2 linked regions of the Nothobranchius furzeri genome follow. The protein of the gene in region 2 binds, or shares a complex with, the protein of the main gene of each other region. Links are inferred from orthologs where the notes say so. Each region holds a gene or a part of one and is shown on either strand. Other genes may lie near its edges.

Evidence for each region.
Region 1: eif3d (region 2) and eif3s6ip share a complex: the UniProt entries of both Homo sapiens proteins name them as parts of the eukaryotic translation initiation factor 3 (eIF-3) complex. The link is inferred for Nothobranchius furzeri from reciprocal best matches to the Homo sapiens genes EIF3D and EIF3L.

What each region holds. Positions count from the first base shown.
Region 1 is NC_091752.1:5,210,652-5,213,936, forward strand, and holds the end of eif3s6ip (eukaryotic translation initiation factor 3 subunit L), read right to left. Parts: intron 2,362-3,285; coding exon 2,228-2,361; intron 2,116-2,227; coding exon 1,942-2,115; intron 1,873-1,941; coding exon 1,683-1,872; intron 968-1,682; coding exon 887-967; intron 816-886; coding exon 741-815; 3' UTR 656-740; downstream 1-655. UniProt on the Homo sapiens protein: Component of the eukaryotic translation initiation factor 3 (eIF-3) complex, which is required for several steps in the initiation of protein synthesis.
Region 2 is NC_091745.1:29,243,200-29,247,777, reverse strand, and holds the end of eif3d (eukaryotic translation initiation factor 3 subunit D), read right to left. Parts: coding exon 4,471-4,578; intron 4,391-4,470; coding exon 4,258-4,390; intron 4,172-4,257; coding exon 4,024-4,171; intron 3,855-4,023; coding exon 3,724-3,854; intron 3,655-3,723; coding exon 3,569-3,654; intron 3,484-3,568; coding exon 3,354-3,483; intron 1,752-3,353; coding exon 1,609-1,751; intron 1,523-1,608; coding exon 1,330-1,522; intron 1,244-1,329; coding exon 1,150-1,243; intron 749-1,149; coding exon 735-748; 3' UTR 632-734; downstream 1-631. UniProt on the Homo sapiens protein: mRNA cap-binding component of the eukaryotic translation initiation factor 3 (eIF-3) complex, a complex required for several steps in the initiation of protein synthesis of a specialized repertoire of mRNAs.

The sequences.
Region 1 (3,285 bases), on a different chromosome or scaffold from region 2:
GAAACAATCAGAATGATGTAGAAAAAAGGTTTGTTCACAGTGGGCGAGGTGCTTAGTGTGGACGTGAAGGTCATCTTCATGTCTGGAAAACAGAATTTTATTTAGACGTAACAGATTTTCTGAGTGATGATTAAAAACGCGACGATGGGAGGCGTCCTCCTGTTTAAAGTGAAAATAAAACTCTAATCTGACGCCAGTGACGTGGGATTACGTCAATTAGGAATCAGACTTTTCTAATGACTGAAGGATTTTTTGTGGTGAAATTTAAAACGGCACAAAAAAGATGAACTGTTTTTACAAACCAAGATGGCGACGTGCCCCCCTGACTTCACACTGCCACATGGGGGGGGGGGGGGGGGGGTAAATCTCATGCTCAAAATATGGAAGTGAGGTTATTTTTAAACCAGTCGAGGTAAGGATTATTGTCGGTGTGAATATGTTGTTCTATGGTGAACGGTGTCTGTTGAGTGGTGTTTAAAAGTATTTTTTATATTCTCATTTTGTAACTTTTTCTGTTATGAGCCATGAGATGTGTGTGGGGAAACTGCTGTGGGATGATCTAATAAAAGAAATATGCAATGACCTTTGACCTCTGTCACTGAGCCAACAGTTGGTTAACACTGCCACCGAATAGTAAAGCAAAGTACCTCCCAGAGAAAATTACTCAACAGTTTTATTGTTGCCTAGTAACAGAAAAGTTGTCATCACTAAGTAGAAGAGAGCGGTGCTGCTGGTCCGCTTCATCGGCTCGTAGCGCTCCCTGACGTGCTGGATGTGGTACCAGTGATGGTCATTTTCTTCAGTGTCCTGTTCAGCTGTAGAAAGAAGATTTATTCAATTCAACCAGAACAAACCAGCAGATAGTGTGATAAAAACCACTACTGACCTCTTCAAACTTGTGGATCTGTCTGATGAAAAAGTCTCCGTAGCGCCGAGCCACTTTAGTGTCAGCGATGTGGATCATGTCCTGTAGGGAGACGCGTTTTAGACGCAGCGTGGATAAAGAAAAGCTGATTTCTACGTTTCTGCATGTATTACAAATGAATCAGATCTAAATTTATATTTAAAATCTGTTTCTTGTTTGTGTCTCTATGTACAAACGGGGGAAAAAACATTTCTAATGTAGTTCATTGGTTAATGGCTATAGCGCCTTCATGGGTTTCCACAGCCCCCCAAAGCGCTTCATAACATAATCACCCATTCACATGCTGGTAGGGAGGAGCTACAATGTAGCCACGGAAGCCATCGGCCCCTCCGACCAACACCGGCAGGCAAGGTGGGTTAAGTGTCTTGCCCAAGGACACAACAGCAGAAACCTCTCTCCGGAGCCGGCATTGAACTAGCAAGCTTTATTTCCTGTTTTTAACCAAATATGGTTTTGTCTTAATTAAGATGTTATTTCTTAGCTTAAAACTCAAAAGTTTCACATTTTCATCATAACTTCATAAACAGGGCCTTCGCCTCTTGACAGCAGAAGCAACACAAGGTGCACTAGAGGTTATATTTATACCTAGAGATGAAACGTAATGTGGTTTGATATCTAGTCTGTACAATCTGGATGCATTTAAGCTCCGAACAGAAACCTTTCAGAGACAAACGAAACCAAATCCTTCAAATCCTCCCAACTCTTCTGCATTTCTCCAGTAAACTAGAATACAGAAAACAAAACTGCTCTTCATCACCTTGTCGATGTAAAAGTCGACTTCAGAGGCGGACTGGAACTCTCCATCCAGCGCCGAGATGCCGCTGGTCCACACCAAGTTCTTCATCTTGTGTTTGAAGACGAGCAGCTGGATCCGGAACTCCTGCTCCGTCATGTCGAGGAATCCTGCCAGCTTGGCCACAGGCATGGTGGTGTAGAGCTTCAGAAAGCTGAAAGGACGAGATGAGGTTAGGTACCGGACCACAAGGACCACTCCTCTGAACGCAGTCGGTTTGTACCTTCGGATGGTGGAGAGTTGGGCCTGCTGCTGCACCTCCTCAGCGAAGACCTTCCGCTGCTGCTCGAACGGCTCTTTGTGGTAGTTGGGGTGGACATTGTCGTAGTTCGGGACCACAGGTGACAAGAACTTGGGACAGGCGAAGCTGAAGAGCTCTTCAAACACTTGCAGGTCTCTTGAGACAGAGAAGGGGACAAATGGTTGATTCTGCTGCGATAATGTTGATCTAGCATCTTAGAAAAGCAGTTTTACTGTAAATAAACGAACGAACGTGATAGTTTCCTCACCCTTTCTGCATACGAAGCATCTTGTCTCCGTACTTCTCCCTCACCTGGGTGTGGATGCTCTCATCGATACGCATGGGGTACATGGTGAGAGCGATGGCCAGGAGGCCATGCATCTGCTCGTTTTGTTTGTTGATCTAAAAATGTGGGAAAATACCTTCTGTTGGTGTATTTTTTACATTTAAAAAGAACTCAATGACCAAAAGTTTCAGCATCTTCTGATACCAACTCAGCCCCTTAGAGGTAAGTGAATGGGGCGAGTGAAAAGAAATGAACACATAGCTGGAGAGAGAGGCAAAATGATAGATTAAGGTCATTTTTTTGGGAATACTGTAATATTCTCTAATTTTGGAAAGTTTTGTATTTTCAGAGGGAAAAAGTGTCAAATTTACAAGAAGGACGTCTGGATAAGAATTTTACTTCTTCCTAAGGCAGAGGCTCCAACCTGGAGGGTCACTTCGGTTTAATCTGGGTTTATGAGCAGTGTTGCCAACTGTTTTTGACTGAAAGAAGCTGAAGTTCCCCCCACACGTCGCTAGATGTCGCCAGATGACGCCACATGCTAATTTGCATATGACGTTATCTGGTTTGCGTGATGACGTCACCGGTCTGGTAGAGTAAATCAAATAAAACCCGTGTGATTTTATTAAAAAAAATTATTGAATTTATTTTTTAATATTTTATTTACATTAAAAAAACCATAGAATACAAAACAGCAGCCTTTAAAACATCAAGGAAAGATGGCACAAAATAAATGGAAGGAATATTTATATTTTGTCTGAAGAGAAGGGAACTCTTAAACACAAAAATGTGAAATTGATAGGAATGTATGTATGATTGAATTAAAATGAATTTTCTCTTGTAGTTTTCAAGCGCCTTGAGATGTATTCTTCTGTCGTGATTCAGTGCTATATATTGACCTAAAAGATAATACAGTAATCCCTCGCTACTTCGCGGTTCGTTCATCGCGGATTCGCTGCTTCGCGGATTTTTTCTTTGGAGCATTTTTCAGGGGGAATTCGCAGATTTGCGGTATTTTTCACTGATTCGTGGTATTTTTC
Region 2 (4,578 bases):
GGAATTAAGGTTATTTAAGCGGTTCAGAGTTAATAAAGCGCTAGATATGATGTTTCACAAGGTGCTGCTAGAGTTATGTGAAATCTTACTTTTGATTTTACTATAAAATATAATAATAATCAACTTCTCCTCCATGTTTGCTCGGAGGTGTAGGAGCATCCTGTCTGCTCATTGGTCAGTGAATGAAACCTCCGTTGATTGGTCCTCGTCCGAGCGACAGCGATGAAAAGTTGAAAATATTTCAACTTTCTGGGATCGCGTCGCTGGGTCGCCTGTGCACGACACGTGCACGAGCACAAAATTTCACACGCACGTTTTTCGCATTTGGCTTAGTAGGAGGGAGACCCGATTATCGCTTTGTCACGCACGTCTGATTGAACATGAATGGAGAGGCGATGTCACCTCCCGTGTGTCGAGCCCATGAGGCCGAGCCCGGCCATCCCGTGGAGAAAACTCATTTCAACCGCTTGTATCCGCCATCTTGTTCTTTCCGTCTTTACCCAAAGCTCATGACCAAAGGTGAGGACTGGGCGGTAAATCGAGAGCCTTGCTGGTCACGAACCAGAAAACAACTCTAGTTGTTTTTGACTTATTTGTATTCCTCCGAAATAAAAACAAAATTACACAATAATCCTTTACTGAATTTGACCATTCTGTTTTTATTAAGTGTCAAAATCAATTCAACTGTTTCTCCAGATGAAGGCTGGTTTGGTCACAGAAGGAAGCTCCACATTTCAGTTCTCTTCATCTGAAACAAGAAATCAATAAATCAGGTTGAATATGGAGATGCTTTCAATGTAAACAAAAACACCATCAGATCTCGTTTTAAAGCTGATGTACTGCACTAAGGGTCAGAGGGAAATAGTTTCCATTCTCCGTATGCGTGTGCTGCACATGTGGTAGACAACAAAGTAGATAGATGGTATTTTTATCCAGAAACCTGAAAGCCTCTGAAGTCACGAAAATAACTTCTTCTATAAAGAATCACATTTCAAAAGTGCCAACGGTTCTATTGTGGCCATCTTTGCTCTGGAAAGTGTACATCAGCATGATTCAGGTCCTTCTTTTGAAAAGATTTTAGTTTTCTCTTCATCTCTCAGGTCACTTCACTCTAAACGGTTTTCAAAAACCAAGTTTAAAATAACAGACCTTCCTCCTCCTCATCCTCTTCATCCTCCTCTTCCTCCTCCTCCTCATCAGAGCTGAAGGTACCTTCAGGCAGGCTGTACACTCGAATCACTTGCTGTTTAGTGGAACCAGAGTGAGAACGAGTCAGTACTTGTCAGCTGGACCTCCGTCTTTGGTCCTCTGGGACTCGTTTCCACTCACCTTGTTGGGGTCCTTCAGGATCAGGTACTTGCCCTCATCCAGCTTGCGGCAGATGTCGATGACGCAGCGGAGGATCCCCCAGGCGTTCTCCATGCTGAGGTTGATCTGGCTGGCAAACTCGTTGGGTTTGAACTGCTGGGTTCCCAGGATGACGTGACGAGAAGAATCCTTCACGTGGTACCGAGACACGTACCTGAGGAGCACACGTGGTGGAAGTCAGGTCCAGCCTGCTTAATGACCATCATCCATTAGCTCCCATCACAGGGTCGGCATACTCACCCCAGTTTCAGATACTCCGACCCGGCCAGCATGGCACAACAGGTCCAGCGGGCCAGTTTGTAGCTGTTGTTCTTCAGCTCGGTGGCCAGAACGGCTCCCCGCTGAGAGTCCAACTTCTGGCGCCAATCCACTCCATTACAATACTGAAGATGAAACAGAGATGAGGAATGGATCAACAACTCCCCGTCAGAACCGGGCTGCTGCACATGAACCAACAACATTATAGAGATGACTGGTTTCAGCAATAAGAATAATTTATGTTAATTAGATATCTGAATCTGTAAATTATTATTTAGGAAAATGTGAACTTTTGGACCGTCCCACTGATCAGGAAGACCAAGAAGGCGGTGGTTGTCAGAAGTCAGCCGGAGGGTTTGTAAACATGAATTCTGACCTCTTATAGACTTGATAGATTAGTTTAAGTTAGGGCTGCTCAATTAATCGAATTTTAATCACGATTACGATCTGAGTTTTGAACGTTTATAAAAAACAAAACAAGCCGATTATTTGCTCCTCCCGCTTGCGCTGCCCTGAGTTACAAATGAAGCGCTCCTCCCACAGTGTTGCCAATTTAGTGACTTTGACGCTATTTCTAACAGCTTTTCAGACCCCCTTCTTGACTTTTTAAATCTTAAAAGTACCTAGCGACCACCTCAGAAACATCTCTGGTAACCCTTAGCTACTTTCTGGATAACTGTCGTCGACATTTCCTGCAGGTTAGCTAAACACTCCGCCTGCGCGTCCGGACCGTTCTTCAGGACATTAGGAAAGGGAATGATGTAGTGATGTGTCAGTCGCTTAAGAAACTGCTCTCGGAGCCGGCTCCTTGTTGGATTAACCAGAGTGAGTGACACACACACCGCACCTGCGGACTCCTGAGCCACTAAAAACGGCTAAATGTGCGCGTGCTAAACACACGTGCAGCTTGCCCCGGATTGCTGTGAGACCGGGGTGGGGGGTGGGGGGTGCAGCTGTGGTTGAGACAATTATTACATTAACTGATGGACTTGTAAATAAATAGTTTATAAATAAGGTAGAAATAAGTTCCTCACGCTGATAACTAATCTCTCTGAGGACACGGTGCTAGTGCACTCTCCTACAGCACTTTGACACGACTAAATAAATATTATGCAACATTTTGTGAACATCAATTTATTTGCATTTATTTGTTATAAATGCCACTGTATAATTCTTGCTGTCAGTATTTGCAAGATATTGGTATTTGGGTCTGTACTGGTTAGACTTACATGAGTTAAACCAAGGTCTACAGCCCTTGGGTCATAGACTATGAGCTATAAGTATATTGGTCTTTTTATACTGGGAATCAGGAGTTACTTTAGTGATCATCTTGTTTCTTATTCATTGTTGTCCTGATTGTGGCCTGAGCAATTTTGTGACTGAATAAAAACAAATAAAATCAACATAAATTGAAAAATCGTCTTAAATAATCGTGATCTCAATTTCAGTCACCATAATCGTGATTATTATTTTTGCCATAATCGAGCAGCCCTAGTTTAAGTTAGCCTTTATTTAGGCTGAAGACAAGAAAAGTTACAGAAAGATTTCGTTTGCAGGAAATAAGAACATGGAACATGTGTTTTAAGAACTGAAGCGGTCCAAAAGGAAACCAACCGCCTGTTGCCACCCACAGCCTCCTGTTGGCCGCAGCACCCAGAGCCAGCTGCTGCTGTCTTACTGGACATGCTTTTGTTCCCTTCTCTGAAACCAGTAACGGTGTCTCCTACCCTGGAGTCCCACTCGTTCAGGGTCTTGACGTTGATGAAGGACACCTCTCCATTCGCTCCAGTCATCACTCCGTCATGTTCACAGCGGATGATCAGGTCGATGTCATCCCCGAGCTTCCAGTGACGGTACCTGAATCCCCAAAAAGCACCAGTCAGTCAGAAGATCCGGTTATCACGTCCCACAGATGGAGCCAACACCAGAACCCAGGACCTACCTGTAGGCCACAGACGCCACCTCGCTCTTGTCCATGTCTTCCTCCACAAATGGGTTAGGGTTTGGGAACTTGTACCGTTCTCCTCCCTGAACACAGCTGAACGTTAGAGTGTGTGTGTGAGTGTGTGTGTTTGGATCTGTGTGTGATGGTCTCACCACACGTAAACACTGCTGGCTGAAGTTGTGGTTGATGTAGGTGGCCTCCATCGCCAGGTTACGAGGAGAGTTAAAGGAGTTTCCCTCATCTTGAGGAGGCTCGTTGGCGGTTTCACTCACAGTTAGCAAATCTGTTCAAATAATTCAGGAAAACAACCTAAAATAAATCGTTCTGCTTGCATTAATCGGAGGTTAAACGCAGACGTGATCGCGTTTTGTTTGATGCCTTTGGCTGCAACTGCAGATGGAACCAGAGCTCCTCCGTTTTCAGGCAGGTTCGGCGAACTCCCCAAAACTCACCAAAGTCAGAGTTGTCCCTCTTGTCAAAGAAGAGCTTGTTGCCGACTCTCTGCACGATGATGTCCCAGGAGTTGACGGAGCGTGTGCAGCACATCAATGTGGCCAAGATAGCGTCTGTAGCAAACACGTTGCCCTGAGTCTTCGCCAGCTGGAGGAAGGCAGAACCAGATTAGAACTCCACCCAGAAAACATTCAGAGCCTCTGGAGGAGCTGGACCGGTGAGGAGCCACCAACCTTCCGGATGACCGGATCATCGGTGGTGGTGACGGTGTGGAAAATCCTCTTGATGCTCTTCAGCTGCTTCTCGTTGCGGGTGGTGATCCGATCGAACGCTTTATCGTAGTACTCCAACGCACCACAGCACTCGCTGCAGGAGGACCAGAACTTTACAGATGTACAGATTCAACCCAAACACAAACCAGACCAGACCAGACAAGCTTCACCTACATGTCAACAGGGTCAGAAACCTCCATGTATCGCATCTTCATCAGTCTGGGGAAGTCCATCTCCTCCTTCACCTCCCAGTCACTCCTCACCTCCACAGAGGAGTCTCTG